2 linked regions of the Schizosaccharomyces pombe genome follow. The gene in region 1 interacts genetically with each later gene. Each region holds a gene or a part of one and is shown on either strand. Other genes may lie near its edges. The genes, in order: chl1 and fml1.

Region 1 (6,185 bases):
ATGCTTTGTGCAGTGGAGCGAGATTGCGTTAAATATTTGGGGTGGTGTTGTTTGCTTGGCAAATGCCGCAAAAGAAAAAGCCACCTCTATCTCTTACTTTAAAAAAGGTATCATTCAGTTTTTACAGATATTAAATCCATTCTGTTATACACAATTGGTATTCATATACATTGCTAGCATATCCTTTAAATTTATTGGATTATACATTTTTTACATGGTATCTTTTAGTACCAAAGGGTTAACGTTGCATTTTAAAATTTGTTTTTAATAGATGATTAAAGTAGCTCAAATTGTCAAGGAGTTTAACAGTTCGACTTAAAAACACAGTACTTGTTCCGGATGCTTTCAGTATCTTATATAGCAGTCTAATTACAATGTCTAAGAATAAATTTATACTATTCTATGGCACAAAAATGCGTTTCACCTTCCCTGTAGACTACTTACTAGACTTTAAAGAATGTTTATGATATACCTGTTCTGTATACGGTTTACAAACTAAAGTATGTAGTATGCTTGAAGTTTACACAGCGTTTGACAATAGATCGCAAGTCGTATACAACAACATCAGGTATGTTGTCATTAAAGGATAATATGAATGGATGATATAGCATTAAATGGATTATTATTAAATCTGATTTTGAAGAGCTGAACCTTTCAAAAAAGATATGCAAAAGGAAGCACTTAAAAATCACTTACTATCGTTGACGGATCATTTGAAATAAAATATGTAATTAACCACTTTTTGTATGTTTACATTTCGTTCCTTGACATACTAGAGTAATTCTGTTACTTGACTGTACTTTTGAATGTGTTACGTCCGTATTGTGTGTTCTTAAAAGAGCAGTCACAATGTGCTATACAGATGAAATATTGCCTAGTCTGCTAGTCATCCATAACCACAATGCGTGATAAGTGGAGGAAGAAACGCGTGAGACGCCTTAAACGTAAAAGAAGAAAGATGAGAGCTAGATCGTAAGTGTTGTATTATATTACTCAGACCTGCAGACTTCTAACTTTGAATTAGTAAATAAACGGATCATCTACAGCTCGATGGACTGAATTAAGCGGTCCCTAGCGTGACGCTTGGATATCATGGCAGAGGCCTCTTCCTGCTCTAAGTCGTAACTTTTCTCAAGTTGGTTTTTTTCTACCTAAACAACCTTCATTTGCGACACCATTAGTGCAGTCTTAATTGACGTTCAAAATAGATCTTGTTTTTATACCTTTGACGAGTAATGATTTGAGTAGTCGGTAAATACGAGAGAGGTGTATTTTCTAAAAATTATAGAGTAATCTATTTACAATATGCGAAGCGTAATTCTAAAATAAGCCTATGTTGACGCTGTAACGCAAACCATATGTCTAATCACACATCTTTTTAGCCCGGAAAAAAGTAGCAAGTTGCCGTATAGCAGGTCCGAAATTAGGGCTAGAATGGATGTTTTTGCTTAACCAGTTTGGTAACTTCCTTTGTATACTTGATCGATTATATCTGGAATCCAAAAGAATTATACTTGCATAATCATCTCGGTGTCGAATCGCTCGACCTATACTTTGATTTACTGCTCGCATACAGGTATTTTCATAAAATTCCTGTGAAGCTTGTTTTGCATTTATGCCTTTCTCCTTGGCCTTTTCCTCTACGTATGAGACCTTGGCTTGCCATTCCACATCTTGCGAGTTAGGGAACGGCATTCCTACCACCATTACGGCTCGGCCAAGTTTATCTGAAAAGTTGATTCCTTCTGAAAGTCTTCCTCCTATCACGCTAAACAACATTCCACTCAAGCCTGCATCTACGGACTGTTTATAGTGTTCAAAAGTATCCAAAGGATTATCGCCAAAATCTTTACTTTCAATAAATAATGGTTTTTTTGCATTTAAACGATTTGTAATTCCATTCATTTCCCATACTTTTACAGCTTGCTGCAAAAATGCAAAACTGGGAAAGAAAACCACGACGCCATCTGGGATAATGGAAATGAAGTTCTGAAAAGTCCTTCCCAAATCTTTTAATAAATTCTCATCGTCTTTTCTTTTATGTGTAAATTCAAAAGGGACGCCTGCAGGACCTTGAGAAACTAGAATGGTTGTAATATTTTCAGGAGGAACTATATGGTCACATGAAAATGGAAGTATACGAGATTGTTCATCTGAAAATAAAAGGGTTATAAAGTCATCAATCGGTGACATGGTGCCACCAGCTAAATTCACTGAACGACATTGTTCGGTCAATATCTCGACATGTTTGGATGGATCGAGTAACAAATATTTTAAATATGGATTGTCCCCCGTTTGTTTTTCGTAAAATAGTTTCCCCTCAGGAGCAGGGTTGGCGATATTCAGTAAGAAAGATTCTAATTGCATTAGGACCGGTGTGTATGGATCCTCTTCATATCCATTGCCGTTTGAAAATCTTTCACTACGAAGATCATTCAAAGACTCCAATTCTTGTGTCCCCAATGAATGCATATATTTCGTATAACCATCGACTTTTCTTGCTAGTTTTGAAACATTCAAGTATTCAGACAGATGGTGCAAGTTAATTTGATCCGCACCATTTGATACCAGTAAAGAATCGACATTGATCACTTTTGAATTCGTATTAGTTTCTAGACAATTTAAAAAAAAAGATTTTAGGTTATAGACAACTTTGATCAATTGCTTTATATGCATTCTATTATTACCATTCAGACGTTTTTCAAACCGCAGAAAATATTGTTGCAATTGAGTTTCAGCAATACAAACTTGTCTAAACGAGATGGAAGAAGAATGCATGGAACAGATTGCATCAATCAAGTTATGAGCTTCGTCAATTATACATATATTGTCTTTAAGAGTCAAATTAAGCGCATTTCGTGCTGATTCTTGTAGCAATAAAGGATAAGGTAGGGTCACAATTTGAGCTGAATCCACTGCTTCCCTCGTTCCGTAATAAGGGCAGACCTTTAAACGCTGGCCCAATTCTACGAGTTCTTCAATATCCATTATTTCAGCAAGTGCTTCATCCCGGAAGTCCCATAATTGAGTGTTGTCTTGTAAAAAGGGACACTTGTGAGCTGATCCTAAAATGTAAAAGTTAATATTAAACTGAATTTTCAATCTAGTGAAGTTGTTAAAGTACCTTGAAGCTCAATGCATTTTTCATTTAAAGCAGACGTTGGTCGAAGTTTCCGGACTTCATTATTAATACAAAGATTCTTACGAGAAGCCAAAGAAACTACTCGTATTGGCGTTGAGAAGGTTTGATTATTGAGCTTTTTAATTTCCTGAACAAGCTGTTGCAATTGAGAGTGGGTTCGAGAAGTAAAATATATCTAGCAGTAGGTTAGAAAAATATTACCACTAAATGAATATTCCTTATAAGCACCTAAATTCGTACCTTTTGAACTATAGGTGGTTTTTCATTATCGGGACTTAATTTTCGCAATAGTTCAGAGACTTTGGAACTGTAACCGTTATTAAATAAATCTTCAGATTGTTCAGAAGTCGATGGCATCGTATATTCTGCTGTAACTAGATATTCGTCCATCGGATCAACCGAAGTATTAGAATTATTACAATTGTCTGAGGTTGAGGCTTCTGCGTTTATGTTCCTCCTTTTTGTTTCCCTGTGGTATGTAGTTGAATTATTGCTCATTTGATTTTTGCGACTTTGGTTCCTCTTTCGAATTTCTTCAAGGCGCTGTTCAAGCCGTGCATGTGTTTCTTTTACTAGATCCTTTTGTATTTTCAAGTCTTGCTCTAGAACCCAATCTGGAATTTTTGAGGATGTGTTAGATTTATTGTCATTAGATTTTTCATTATCCTCAAGTAAAACACCTCCATGTTCGTCTAGCCAAGTAAGTGAAGCACAGATTAAACTCAAACTTTTTCCCGTTCCAGTTGGTGATTCAAAAATCCCAATCTTTCCATCGCTGATGGAAGAGTACAAACTGCGCATGAACTCTAGTTGGATATCGTATGGGGTATACGGGTGATGAAAATTGGTTTTAAATTTTACTTCTTTCGAATGACACATTTTAAAGGTAAAACAACCTTTTCAGAAACCTGGAAATCTTTCGTATACTATTTCGAGTTTTGATAACAGTAATTGCACATTACAGAGCCAAATGTAAGGTTCCCTTGTAAAATAGTTAATAAAGCATAAAATAACACCTTATAAACACGGGAAAGCGTATGTTTGAGCTTAGATTTTTCAGTACAACAAAAGAGAGTAGCGATGATACTAATTGAATTTACCAAATCATATGCAAGCTGGTTTCTGAAGAAGGAAGTACTGTTGCATAAACTCCATCCGTCAAACTGTCTATTTATATAACAAGAAGACTTTTCAACAAAATGTTAAAATGAACAGAAGAAACCGCTTTGCACGAGGTTAGGCAAGTTTACTGTATGTTAAAAAACTGTTTCAGTGTATACTGAAGTTAAAATATATTTGCAAATTTAAATCAAATATTCAACTACTTTTAAGGGGAGGAAACTAAATTTAAGAAAATTAAATATGCATTTCTAGTTTAACAGAAAGAATGAGATTTTGTTAAAAGTGCTAAATTCTCTTTCAACACTAAGCCTACAATTCAGTTTAGAAGAACAGCAAACGCTCAAAGGTTAAATAATATATATATGCTTGACGCTCTCTGTATTATCGAATATTATCATAACTAATGGAAATAACTATGGAAAAAGAAGCTGAAGTATGGTTATGTAATTTTCTAACGCGTGCAATCGTTAGTCTTGTTTTTGTCATCTACCAAAGAATCGCAATACCGCGAAAATGCATTTTTAAAATGCGTTGAGATTTTGCTACCAGATCAGCAATAAAAGTATCGAAACTTTTTAATCAAACTATCAATATGAAACAAAGCAATAGAATGTTTTAAAGAAATATTCGAAGCATCGATATATGATATAAAGATGTACAGGAGTACGTTATTCACTCATTTCTATCACTAGAGCATTTTCTGTCGGCAACAGTATTTTGTTCGTTGCTGGCCTTGTAGATACATTTATTTCATTATTTATTAAGCACTGTCGTTAAGTAAATTGTACAATATGTCAAGTAAACGCCGTCAAGCTTTAAGAGACTTTTATAATCTACCTGGTTCAAATAGCTCATCTTCAACTGTTTCTACAACTCGAAAACCGTCTAGCTCTAATACCGTTTCGCCAGTGGAAGAAACAGCATTAGATAAAGTTGATCCAGAGTTCTCAGATCCAAATTTCGATTCAAATGCTTACGTTTCTAAATTTATGGAGAAAGCCACACCAGCCGAATTATTGCAGCGTGATAAATCTTTGGTTGCTTCGATTCAAGGGCTTTCTGTCGACCATAGATCTTTGGTATATAATCATTATAAGCATTTGTTAGAAGCTAGTGATGCAATTAACTCTTTTTGTAAAAATTTAAATACACTTCTACCTGCATTAAACGATGCTTATCAGGCATGTCCAAAGCCTACAAGGAAAAATGGAAATAATGATACGTATTCAGCTCCCCAATCTTTTAATGGAAATGAATTTTCAGCGCCATAGTCGCAGATTTGTTCTACCATCTCAGTGTTAGCGTCTTCACATCATTTCAAAAGCTTGGGCAATGACGAACACCATCTCATTTATCAGTTATTCATAATTCATTAGTAAAAAGGTTCATTCATCATATATTCGTTATTCGCAGGGAATTTCCATTTTCATATCGGTGAATTCGGTGTCTTACTACCTCTCTCGGTCATTTGAATTTTCCGTCATTTAGGGTACACTGTCCAATGTAATATTGAGCTTATAGTACGGTCTCCTACTTTCTATACGTTTAATCATCTGCTTAAACAAGCGCAAACGACATTGATTTAAAGTTTTTTGCTAGCTTATTGTAGTGATTCATTGGTTTTATTCTCTATATTTCTCGTCACTTCTCCTCGGTGAAGTTAAGTGCTCTAGAAATGCCTTCAGGCGCGCAAGGAAATACTCAATCAGCTGCTTATAAACGTATTGTTAATGTCTCTCGAAATTTTCAATTTAAAGCAGCCTTAAATAAAGATACTCGCGAATGGACGTTTCAGCATCGTAGTAGTGGCACTGCCCTTTACTCAGCAATTGCTTCATTGGGAGATCCTAGTTCACCCTGGGACGCCGTGTACGTAGCTTCTCCTGGACCTGTACAAATTTCGGAAGGAAATGACCATACA
Region 2 (11,773 bases), 3.9 Mb from region 1:
CTTCGAGGTATTAGAAGTGTTCATTTCTGTCAGCAATACTACACTACGCTATAATACACTACGTTGAGTATCACTATATGTCACATGTTCTAATTATATATCGTACCATGTATGATACGATATGGAGATTGATCTTAATGATAATCTATTAAGATCAATATTATCTGAATACTATAAATAGAGCTACTGCTGAACCTCGTTCCTCAGTTCAGTTATGAGCTATATTAGTGATAGGTAACATTATAACCCAGTTAATACAATACCTATACTCAGTTGCTACTTATACAACCTGTGTATTGTAATATAATAGATCACAAGGAAAGCTCACCGCAGTTCTACGTATCCTTAAATCAGATACCAAACTGCGTAGCTTACAATAACTGAACTCTTGTGATCTACAATTAACTCCTTTTAGGAAAAAGGAATTATTGAATAAATATATATCATAAATATATATATTTCTCTCCTTCTGGGTTCAAAGGAGAAAGAACTTTGGAAGGACTGTTATCCCTTTTGAAATCTCCCAAAGGGAAACATATACAATGTCCTACGCAAATTATCGTTATATGAAAGCAAGAGCAAAACGATGGAGACCAGAGAATTTGGATGGAATTCAAACATCAGACGAACATTTAATAAACCTTTTTGCAAAAATATTATCGAAGCATGTACCAGAGATAGGGAAATTCGATCCTAATAAGGATGTTGAAAGTTACATTTCAAAACTTGATCAACACTTTACTGAATACCCTTCATTATTCCCAAATGAGCATACTAAAAGACAGTATACATTGAATCACCTAGAAGAATTAGAGCAACAATTCGCTGAACGCATGTTTTCTGAGAATGGAAGTCTTACATGGCAAGAATTACTCAGACAAACAGGGAAAGTACAAGGATCCAACAAAGGTGATCGTTTAACTAAAACATTTGAAGGTTTTAGAAATCAATTGGACAAAGTTCAATTTATAAGGAAACTCATGTCAAAAGCAAATGTTGATGATTTCCATACTCGCTTGTTTATATTATGGATGCTGCCATATTCCTTAAGGAAATTAAAGGAAAGAAATTACTGGAAATCAGAAATCAGTGAAATTTATGACTTTTTAGAGGACAAAAGAACAGCCTCGTATGGTAAAACTCACAAGCGTTTTCAACTGCAAAATAAAAATCTAGGAAAAGAGTCCCTTTCAAAGAAAAATAACACCACTAATAGCAGAAACCTGAGGAAGACAAATGTTTCGAGAATAGAATACTCATCTAACAAATTCCTAAATCATACTAGGAAACGTTACGAAATGGTATTACAAGCTGAACTTCCAGACTTCAAGTGCTCAATACCCTGTCTAATCGATACGGGCGCTCAAGCAAATATTATAACAGAAGAAACTGTTCGAGCACATAAACTGCCTACCAGACCCTGGTCAAAAAGTGTGATATATGGTGGAGTTTATCCAAATAAGATTAATCGCAAAACAATAAAACTTAACATAAGTCTAAATGGAATATCAATCAAAACAGAATTCTTGGTTGTAAAGAAATTTTCGCATCCAGCTGCTATCTCCTTCACAACATTATATGACAATAACATTGAAATATCTAGCAGTAAACACACGCTCTCTCAAATGAACAAAGTTTCAAATATTGTCAAGGAACCTGAGTTACCAGATATCTATAAAGAATTCAAAGACATTACTGCAGAAACCAATACGGAAAAGCTACCAAAGCCAATAAAAGGGTTAGAATTTGAAGTTGAACTAACTCAAGAAAACTACAGATTACCTATCAGAAATTACCCGCTACCACCGGGAAAAATGCAAGCTATGAATGATGAAATTAATCAAGGATTAAAAAGTGGAATTATACGAGAATCTAAAGCCATTAACGCCTGTCCAGTAATGTTCGTTCCGAAAAAGGAAGGCACCTTGAGAATGGTGGTTGACTACAAACCTTTAAATAAGTATGTCAAACCCAATATATATCCGTTACCACTTATTGAACAATTACTTGCTAAAATACAAGGTTCTACAATTTTTACTAAACTTGACCTCAAAAGTGCCTATCACTTGATACGAGTAAGAAAAGGAGATGAACATAAACTTGCTTTTCGCTGTCCTCGTGGAGTTTTTGAATATCTAGTAATGCCTTATGGCATATCTACAGCTCCAGCACATTTTCAATACTTTATCAATACAATACTTGGTGAAGCCAAAGAATCACATGTAGTATGTTATATGGATGATATTTTAATTCATTCAAAATCGGAATCTGAACATGTAAAACATGTTAAAGACGTTCTACAGAAATTGAAAAATGCGAACTTAATTATCAATCAAGCAAAATGTGAATTTCACCAATCACAAGTAAAATTTATAGGGTATCACATTTCGGAAAAAGGATTTACGCCTTGTCAAGAAAATATAGACAAAGTCTTACAATGGAAGCAACCTAAGAATCGTAAAGAATTACGACAATTTCTAGGTTCTGTCAATTATCTTAGGAAATTCATTCCAAAGACATCACAATTAACACATCCACTCAATAATCTTTTGAAAAAGGATGTACGCTGGAAATGGACACCAACACAAACCCAAGCGATAGAAAACATTAAACAATGTTTAGTTTCTCCTCCGGTGCTACGACACTTTGATTTCAGTAAAAAGATTCTACTGGAAACTGATGCTTCAGATGTCGCTGTAGGAGCCGTATTGTCTCAAAAACATGATGATGATAAATACTATCCTGTTGGATACTATTCAGCAAAGATGTCTAAAGCACAATTAAATTATAGCGTATCGGACAAAGAAATGCTTGCAATCATTAAGTCTCTCAAACATTGGAGACACTATTTAGAATCCACTATCGAACCTTTCAAAATTTTAACAGACCATCGAAACTTAATTGGTCGCATTACTAACGAATCCGAGCCTGAAAACAAACGTTTAGCTCGTTGGCAATTATTTTTACAAGACTTCAACTTTGAAATTAACTACAGACCTGGATCAGCAAATCACATAGCTGATGCCTTATCCAGAATTGTTGACGAAACAGAACCAATTCCAAAAGATTCAGAAGACAATAGTATCAACTTTGTTAATCAAATCTCGATAACCGATGATTTTAAAAACCAAGTGGTTACAGAATATACGAATGATACAAAATTGTTGAATTTACTAAACAATGAAGACAAACGAGTGGAAGAGAATATCCAACTCAAAGATGGCTTACTAATTAACAGTAAAGACCAAATCTTATTACCTAATGATACTCAGCTGACTAGGACAATTATTAAAAAGTATCATGAAGAAGGTAAATTGATTCATCCAGGCATTGAACTTCTTACAAACATTATATTACGTAGATTTACGTGGAAAGGAATAAGAAAACAAATACAAGAATATGTACAGAACTGCCATACATGTCAAATAAACAAATCTAGGAATCATAAACCTTATGGACCTTTACAACCAATTCCCCCATCAGAAAGACCTTGGGAATCTTTATCAATGGATTTTATTACAGCTTTACCAGAATCATCTGGTTATAATGCACTTTTCGTGGTAGTTGACCGATTTTCAAAAATGGCAATCTTAGTACCTTGTACGAAATCCATTACAGCAGAGCAAACAGCTCGAATGTTTGATCAACGAGTTATTGCTTATTTCGGCAATCCAAAAGAAATCATTGCAGATAATGATCATATTTTTACTTCCCAAACGTGGAAAGATTTCGCACATAAATATAATTTCGTTATGAAATTTTCGTTACCATACAGACCACAAACTGATGGACAAACTGAGCGTACAAACCAAACTGTGGAGAAATTACTAAGATGTGTATGTAGCACACATCCAAATACATGGGTAGATCATATATCCCTAGTGCAACAATCTTACAACAATGCGATACATTCAGCAACTCAAATGACACCTTTTGAGATAGTACATCGCTATTCACCAGCTTTATCACCTTTAGAGTTACCTAGCTTTAGTGACAAAACTGACGAAAACTCTCAGGAAACGATCCAAGTATTTCAAACAGTTAAAGAACACTTGAATACAAACAACATAAAGATGAAAAAGTATTTCGATATGAAAATACAAGAAATTGAAGAATTTCAACCTGGAGACCTAGTTATGGTCAAAAGAACGAAAACAGGTTTTCTTCATAAATCCAATAAATTAGCACCTAGTTTTGCAGGACCGTTCTATGTGTTACAGAAGTCGGGTCCAAACAACTATGAATTGGATCTTCCAGATTCAATCAAGCACATGTTTTCATCTACTTTTCATGTTTCTCACCTAGAAAAGTATCGACATAATTCAGAACTCAATTACGCTACCATTGATGAGTCTGATATTGGAACAATTCTTCATATCCTAGAACATAAAAACAGAGAACAAGTACTCTACTTAAATGTCAAGTACATTTCGAATCTAAATCCGAGTACTATTATGTCAGGATGGACTACATTAGCTACAGCGCTACAAGCGGACAAAGCAATTGTCAATGATTATATTAAAAACAATAATCTAAATATCTGAGAACATATGACTTATCCTCAGATTTACATAGAAAATCTTGGGGAGGGCAATGTCAGCAATACTACACTACGCTATAATACACTACGTTGAGTATCACTATATGTCACATGTTCTAATTATATATCGTACCATGTATGATACGATATGGAGATTGATCTTAATGATAATCTATTAAGATCAATATTATCTGAATACTATAAATAGAGCTACTGCTGAACCTCGTTCCTCAGTTCAGTTATGAGCTATATTAGTGATAGGTAACATTATAACCCAGTTAATACAATACCTATACTCAGTTGCTACTTATACAACCTGTGTATTGTAATATAATAGATCACAAGGAAAACTCACCGCAGTTCTACGTATCCTTAAATCAGATACCAAACTGCGTAGCTTACAATTTCATAGAAGTATGACCTTTGAACAAAATCACTATTTCACTTAATGCAGTGCTTAAATTCTTTAATTTATACTTAGTGAATCAGTAAATTTAAAATACGTTAAATGGCTTTATGGAATTTCCAAAGGAACTCTTCGAAGAGGAAATTTCAAATTATGTGATAGATTAAAGATTATGGCTATTATTCGATAAATGAGTGTTTTTTTACTCACTTGATGTGTGATATGTTACCACAAACAAAGTCCAATTTTGAAGGTACAAACATCAGAAAGTCCTGAATTCTAGCAACATTAGTCTATGTACGGACACTTTTCAACTCGTTTTACTTCATCTAGCTAATCATTTTCTTTAATCTAAGAGCCATTACATGTCTTTCTGATAGGATTTGTTCGGCTATGCTTGTTATTTGTTTATCGTATAGAGAGCGACTTATAGTGAATATATACAAAAACCATTATGATGATATACGAATTCTATATCGGTTATTAGGTGCTTCCCTAATACAATACTACACCCGCGCAATAATTCGTTATAACAAATCGTTACTGAAAAGACATGGAATATACACATTGGCAATGTAATTTTAAACATAATTAACTTCATTACTTTCTCATGAAGTTAATTGTATCTTAAACCATTTGAGGGAAAAAACTTGTCCTTTACAATTACTTCCGACAATAAAGGACGCTTTGCAGTGAATGTCTTATGGAATTGTTGTATTTGACGACTGACGAAACGAAGTACCTTAGCAAAATTCGTTTTTAAGTAATTCCAGCTAAATTTTTGCTAACAATATAAATCATTGATAAGGATGTCCGATGATTCTTTTAGTAGTGATGAAGACTGGGACGAATTGGACACCCAAGTAGTTGATAAAATTGAGAATGAATATCATAATAACACGATAGGTTTAAATGGATACTCAGTTGATGAATATTTTGATGCCAACGATTCCAATAGATATCGTCTACAACACGAGTTAGATGAAAGTGCAGCACAGCAATGGGTATACCCTATAAACGTCTCCTTTCGAGATTATCAGTTTAATATTGTCCAAAAAGCTTTATTTGAAAATGTACTTGTAGCTTTGCCAACAGGTTTAGGTAAAACATTTATTGCAGCCGTTGTGATGATGAATTATCTTCGTTGGTTTCCAAAAAGTTACATTGTTTTCATGGCTCCTACTAAACCATTGGTTACACAACAAATGGAAGCTTGCTATAAAATCACTGGAATTCCAAAGAGTCAAACTGCTGAATTAAGTGGACACGTTCCTGTTACAACTCGAAATCAGTATTATCAAAGTCGAAATGTTTTCTTCGTAACTCCTCAAACCATTTTAAACGACATCAAGCATGGAATTTGCGATCGGACTCGTATATCTTGTTTAGTAATTGATGAAGCACATCGTAGTACTGGAAATTACGCTTATGTGGAAGTTGTTCATCTACTTTCTCTTAGCAACAAAAATTTCCGTATACTGGCTCTTAGTGCTACCCCCGGAAATAAGTTAGAAGCAATTCAGAATGTAATTGATTCTCTTCATATATCCAGGATTGAGATTAGAACTGAAAACAGCATTGATATATCGCAATACGTTCAGAAGAAAGAGGTGGATTTTTTTCCTGTAGATTTGTCTGCAGAGATTACAGATATAAGAGATCGATTTTCTTCTATATTGGAACCTATGCTTCAAAAATTGAACAAGGGTAATTATTATCGAATTCAGAATGCTAAAGACATAACTTCTTTCACTGTGGTTCAAGCTAAACAAGCTTTTCTTGCAATGTCTGGTCAAAACTTTCCTGCTAATCAAAAATGGGATATTTTAAATACTTTTGATGCATTAGCGACTTTTGCCTATCCTTTAAATTTGTTACTCAACCATGGTATCCGACCGTTTTATCAAAAATTGCGAGAGGTAGAAGAAGAATGCTTTGTAGGAAGATCAGGTTATAAGAAACGCATAATAAATCACGAAAATTATCGTCCTTTAATGGACGATATAGAAATTTTGTTGCGAGATCAGTCTTTTGTCGGACATCCCAAACTAGAGCATTTGGAACGTATTGTTACAGAATATTTTGAAAAAGAACAAACCAAGGATACCAGAATTATGATTTTTGTTGAAATCCGCTCTAGCGCCGAAGAGATTTTACGATTTTTGGGTAAATTTTATCCAAATGTGAGACCAGCTATTTTTATTGGACAATCTGCTGTGAGAAAGGCTGCTGGAATGTCTCAAAAATTACAGAATGAAGTATGTAATCTGAAAATGATGGATCCTTAACTAACTAATCTCTAGACTGTGAAACAATTTCAAAAAGGTGAAGTCAATACTTTAATAGCTACCTCTATTGGAGAAGAGGGTTTGGACATAGGTGAAGTAGACATGATCATATGTTACGATGCATCTGCTTCTCCTATAAGGATGTTACAAAGAATGGGCAGAACTGGGAGAAAAAGGAAAGGTTATATTTATATGCTTTTGACGCGAGGCAAAGAAGAAGCAAAATGGGAGAGAGCCAAAGACGCTTATCGAACTTTGCAAGATAATATTGTCAGTGGTCGCGGTCTCAGCCTATCGGAAAAAAGTTATAGAATTTTACCAGAAAAGTTTCGCCCGGTTTGTGATAAACGAGTCATAGAAATTCCCAAAGAAAATGAAGAAGTTGTAGTAGCTCCAAAGAAAGTGCAATTGAGAACGAAAATAAAAAAGAAATTTTTCATGCCAGAAAATGCCTTGAATGGATTTATTACTGCGTCCGCTTTAGGTAAACCGAAACGTGCTTTAGCCAAGTCTGAAGAATCACCGTTCGAGATATGTCCCGTTACATATAGCATTGAACAAGAAAAGAAACTGGAAAAATATAAGCGTGTTTGCTTAAGAGGTTTGGATATTCATAGAAATAGGAGGTTATCTCAATTGAGTGTTACAGGACGGATACCGCATTCTCTAGCTACGAAAAGTATACATTCATTTTTAAAGCATTTAAATACTATAGATTCGCAAAAGGCTCAGGAGTGGAGAAGAGAAATAAACAACCAATTCCAAGTATCAAATATCAACTCGACGGATCGTGACACAAAACAGCCAAAGATGCATGACTTTAGACAACCTTTACACCCAAATCCGTAAGTGTTTAAACTATTGAGTTGTTTAACGATAATTACAGATTATTAACATACAGGATGACAACTTTGAAAAGGAAAGGACAACATAATTCATTTTCTTACGACAAGTCTACACTGTTTTATGACAACAACAATAATTTAGAGGAAGACCTCCCGGATGTAAATATTTCTATATCTTCAAGGAATGAAGAAGCATCCAAGACAAAACCATTTGACGACCGACAACAACGCCTTCAGCAACTCGTAGAGAAAAGGAAACGTATGAAAGGAATGCTGATTTAGAGAATTAAATAGTGTTTAGAAATAGCCTACAACGTTTTCAATTTGTAGTCTAACTCAAAAAGATATTCGTAGCATTCCATTTGAGTTTTTGATTTTTCCCATGTTGCTCCCCAACCGATAACCCCATGTCCACGAATAAGAACAGCACATGTTTGTGGATAAAGCTCGATGACTTTTTTTAGTTCATCTAATATTGTTTTACTATCGCCATTGTGGATAACTACATAATCAGTATTCAGATACCAGTCAACACCAACAGAAAACACAACTTACTAGGAACCTCTAGAGTATCAAAACAGCAAAGATAGCCTGCTGAAGGATTTCCCTTTGGAATTCCTTTGATCATTTCCTTAGATTGTGTAGTAAATTTCTCATTATACATCGATGCTCCGACTGCAGCGACTGAAGTAGAATATATACAGGCTACTGCATCCATATTACTTTTGATGTGTTAAAAATTGCTGTAAATAGAAAAAATGATGCATACCTCAAAACCCATGAGAAAATGTAGGCCCAATTGACTAAATCCTTGGTGACTGACTGATTGCTGTATAAAAGGTTAGATACTAATTGGAGCTGATCCAAATGAATAATTTACCTTAAATTAAAGGTCACGATATCGTTTTCCGTTATGAAGTCTCTTTGAACCCTGTCCTTAACGCAAATTGCATAACCACTAAATGTTAACAAAATCGTTTGAATACCGTACAATTACTTGTTCTTTAGACAAAAGTTTCCACTAAATACCAATTAGCTTTAAAAAATTACTGAACATTAAACGTCTTGAACGCTACCTGCCAAATTTCATCCATCCAAGACTGTAAAAATGAGGAATAAGTTCAAGAATCAAATTTTTCTCTAATTGGAGACTCATTCTTCTAAAATTTTCAACTTTAACCTTTAAAAGTTCCCGTACTATACTCAGAAATGATTTATTTAATGATCGGTTCTTTCAGCAAAGTGAGTAGCGTTTCATAAGTTGCGTTTGCAAATTTGATATTAAAAAGTAATTGAAGGAAGACATATGTCACAAAACACTCTACACAATCATTCATTAAGCTTATAATACACGAAAACTTTTACTTTAAAGAAAAAACAATTTGAACAAATAACGAAATAAATTACCATCTAAAATTTTAAGTCATTGTAACCCACCTATTAGAGTAACCAGTTAAATAAGTTTTCAGGCCTATATATTCCAATACTGGGAAACCAAGGAAAGTAAGATGTTAGGAAAAAAGACTTATTTTTTGACAATCGTCACTACATCCTCATCCAACAGTACATGAGATAAACCAACACGCATGCCAGGATAAGGAACGCTTTTTCCCCAAACATAAGCATGTTTAAACTGGGATTTGATACTTGAATGAATATTGTTACACTAAAGAAGTTAGCAACACGAAGATCGGCAGAAGCAATTCGAAAACTTACAAAATCCTCGACAGTAGAATGGCCAGTACGAAGGATAACAGGTTCGCTGTAATCAGGTTCAAGACCTCTAGGGCGTGTATAGACTCTAACCAAATTCAAATAGTCCCACATCGTTTCTTTAAGTTCGTCAATGTTCCAACCCCTGTTACCACAAATGGGTACGGCGTTAGGAATACGATCAATCAAATCAAGTTCTTCAATAGAAATTGAATCAATTTTATTTAACACGTAAAGTGCCGGGATATAAACGCGATTTCCTTCCAAGACATCAATCAAATCATCAATGGTGGCATCACAACGAAAAGCAATGTCAGCAGAGTTAACACGATATTCGCTGCAAACAGCACGAATTTCGTCCAAATCAATATGAGTCAAGGGGACAGTATTGGTGATATTGATACCACCACGTTCTTTCTTTTTGAATACAATGTTGGGGGGTTCCTTATTTAATCTTATACCAAATCCTTCCAATTCCTCTTCAATAATACGCTTATGAGACATTGGTTTCAATACATCCAAAACAATAAATATAAGGTTGCAAGTACGTGCAACAGTAATAACTTGTTTACCACGACCACGACCATCTTTGGCACCCTCGATAATACCAGGCAAATCCAAAATTTGAATTTTTGCACCATTGTATTGCAAAACACCCGGAACCGTTGTTAAAGTTGTAAATTCATATGCAGCGGCTTCACTTCTCGTTCCTGTAAGCTGAGTCATGAGTGTACTTTTACCGACGGAGGGAAATCCAATGAAACCTACAGTACCAATACCGGTACGAGCAACATCGAAACCAACTAAGAAAGATTAGTACTCCAAACAAAAATTTGACGTTCAGTACATACGCCCTCCACCACCTCCTCCACCGGTAGGGGTGATCAATTCACGTTTCAATTTTGCAAGCTTGGCCTTTAACATTCCCAAGTGCTTAGCCGTAGCTTTATTTTTTTGGGTTTTGGCCATTTCATCTTCAACTTCTTTTATTTTTTGCGCCGTAGTCGCCATTTTGTTTTTTTATTATATATGAAAATGCTATGAAAATGGTGAAAAGAAAATTCTATAACTAAGTACGTATAAGATCTTTTGCATTATTGAGTGCTAAGCAACCCTCTTTATTTTATATTAGTGTATTAAACCACATTACAACAGCCAAACTATTATTAAGATACCAGGTAGAATATCACGTTGGATCTCGATATTTGTTCCTTGTTGTAAGTAAATAAAAAAATATGTGAAATATTGAATCCAGTTATTCAATAGAATTTCATAAATAAATCTTTTTTCTTTTGCGTGTCTTTTTTTATGCGTTAGATCAATATAAAATATGTATGTATATAAAAAGTTGATAATTTTGTTTTGTTTTTCTTACACAATTTTAATGCAAATATTAAATAAATAAGATTGCAAAAAAGTAGTTGCTGATTGCGCAAAAGCTTGGATTAACAGTATTTTTTGATAAATAAAAAAAGAAATAAATAAATTTAGTATGTTCTAAGTCAACGGCAAATGAATTATTATTCAGGGGTTGAAGATAATGTCAGTTAACAAGGTTAATTATCGGGTCAGGGTAATAATTAAAAATTAAATAAATAAAAAATATCTGCGGCTGTTGCGTATAAACAGTAGACGGATGAGCAATTATCCCCAATAGCCTAAATACAAAATATAAGAACACATAGTAGAAACTACAAAAACATTTTTACCGGCAACAATAACCTCGTTGATATAGTGGTATTGTTGATAACTCAAAAAGCCCCAGCGTTTTGTGCGCGAAAATTATATTAATATTAACGAAAGCGAATATGCTGAATATGTATAAATCTGCAGAAGATACATATGTATCATTAATTTTTCTATGTACAATATTGTAAGCAACATAACTGATCGGAACAGGAAAAGTAGATGAGAAGAGGGAAACGGTTAGGATAGCGTGAAATTCAAGATCAATGCGAAAGAAATAAATTATAAGGGTTAA

The links.
Region 2: mutations in chl1 (region 1) and fml1 impair growth when combined (synthetic growth defect), as found in Schizosaccharomyces pombe (one study listed by BioGRID).

The regions. Positions count from the first base shown.
Region 1 is NC_003424.3:5,396,950-5,403,134, reverse strand, and holds chl1 (ATP-dependent DNA helicase Chl1), read right to left. Parts: upstream 4,391-6,185; 5' UTR 4,022-4,390; coding exon 3,383-4,021; intron 3,318-3,382; coding exon 3,125-3,317; intron 3,066-3,124; coding exon 1,363-3,065; 3' UTR 1,032-1,362; coding exon of another isoform or gene 1,025-1,031; 3' UTR 973-1,024; coding exon of another isoform or gene 902-972; 3' UTR 725-901; downstream 1-724. Other genes in the region: rpl4101 (60S ribosomal protein L41), read left to right, coding at 902-972, 1,025-1,031; GARP complex subunit Vps51, read left to right, coding at 5,056-5,535; trehalose-phosphate synthase Tps2, read left to right, coding at 5,940-6,185. UniProt on the Schizosaccharomyces pombe protein: ATP-dependent DNA helicase important for chromosome transmission and normal cell cycle progression in G(2)/M.
Region 2 is NC_003424.3:1,465,305-1,477,077, forward strand, and holds fml1 (ATP-dependent 3' to 5' DNA helicase), read left to right. Parts: upstream 1-5,529; 5' UTR 5,530-5,755; coding exon 5,756-7,204; intron 7,205-7,249; coding exon 7,250-8,079; exon of another isoform or gene 8,080-8,135; coding exon 8,136-8,361; 3' UTR 8,362-8,387; coding exon of another isoform or gene 8,388-8,581; 3' UTR 8,582-8,634; coding exon of another isoform or gene 8,635-8,801; 3' UTR 8,802-8,848; coding exon of another isoform or gene 8,849-8,908; 3' UTR 8,909-8,959; coding exon of another isoform or gene 8,960-9,037; 3' UTR 9,038-9,076; coding exon of another isoform or gene 9,077-9,100; 3' UTR 9,101-9,155; coding exon of another isoform or gene 9,156-9,235; 3' UTR 9,236-9,604; coding exon of another isoform or gene 9,605-9,745; 3' UTR 9,746-9,795; coding exon of another isoform or gene 9,796-10,595; 3' UTR 10,596-10,643; coding exon of another isoform or gene 10,644-10,803; 3' UTR 10,804-10,971; downstream 10,972-11,773. Other genes in the region: Tf2-1 (retrotransposable element/transposon Tf2-type), read left to right, coding at 543-4,544; SPOM_SPAC9.06C (5'-methylthioribulose-1-phosphate dehydratase), read right to left, coding at 8,388-8,581, 8,635-8,801, 8,849-8,908, 8,960-9,037, 9,077-9,100, 9,156-9,235; SPOM_SPAC9.07C (GTPase Rbg1), read right to left, coding at 9,605-9,745, 9,796-10,595, 10,644-10,803. UniProt on the Schizosaccharomyces pombe protein: ATP-dependent DNA helicase involved in DNA damage repair by homologous recombination and in genome maintenance. Capable of unwinding D-loops. Plays a role in limiting crossover recombination during mitotic DNA double-strand break (DSB) repair.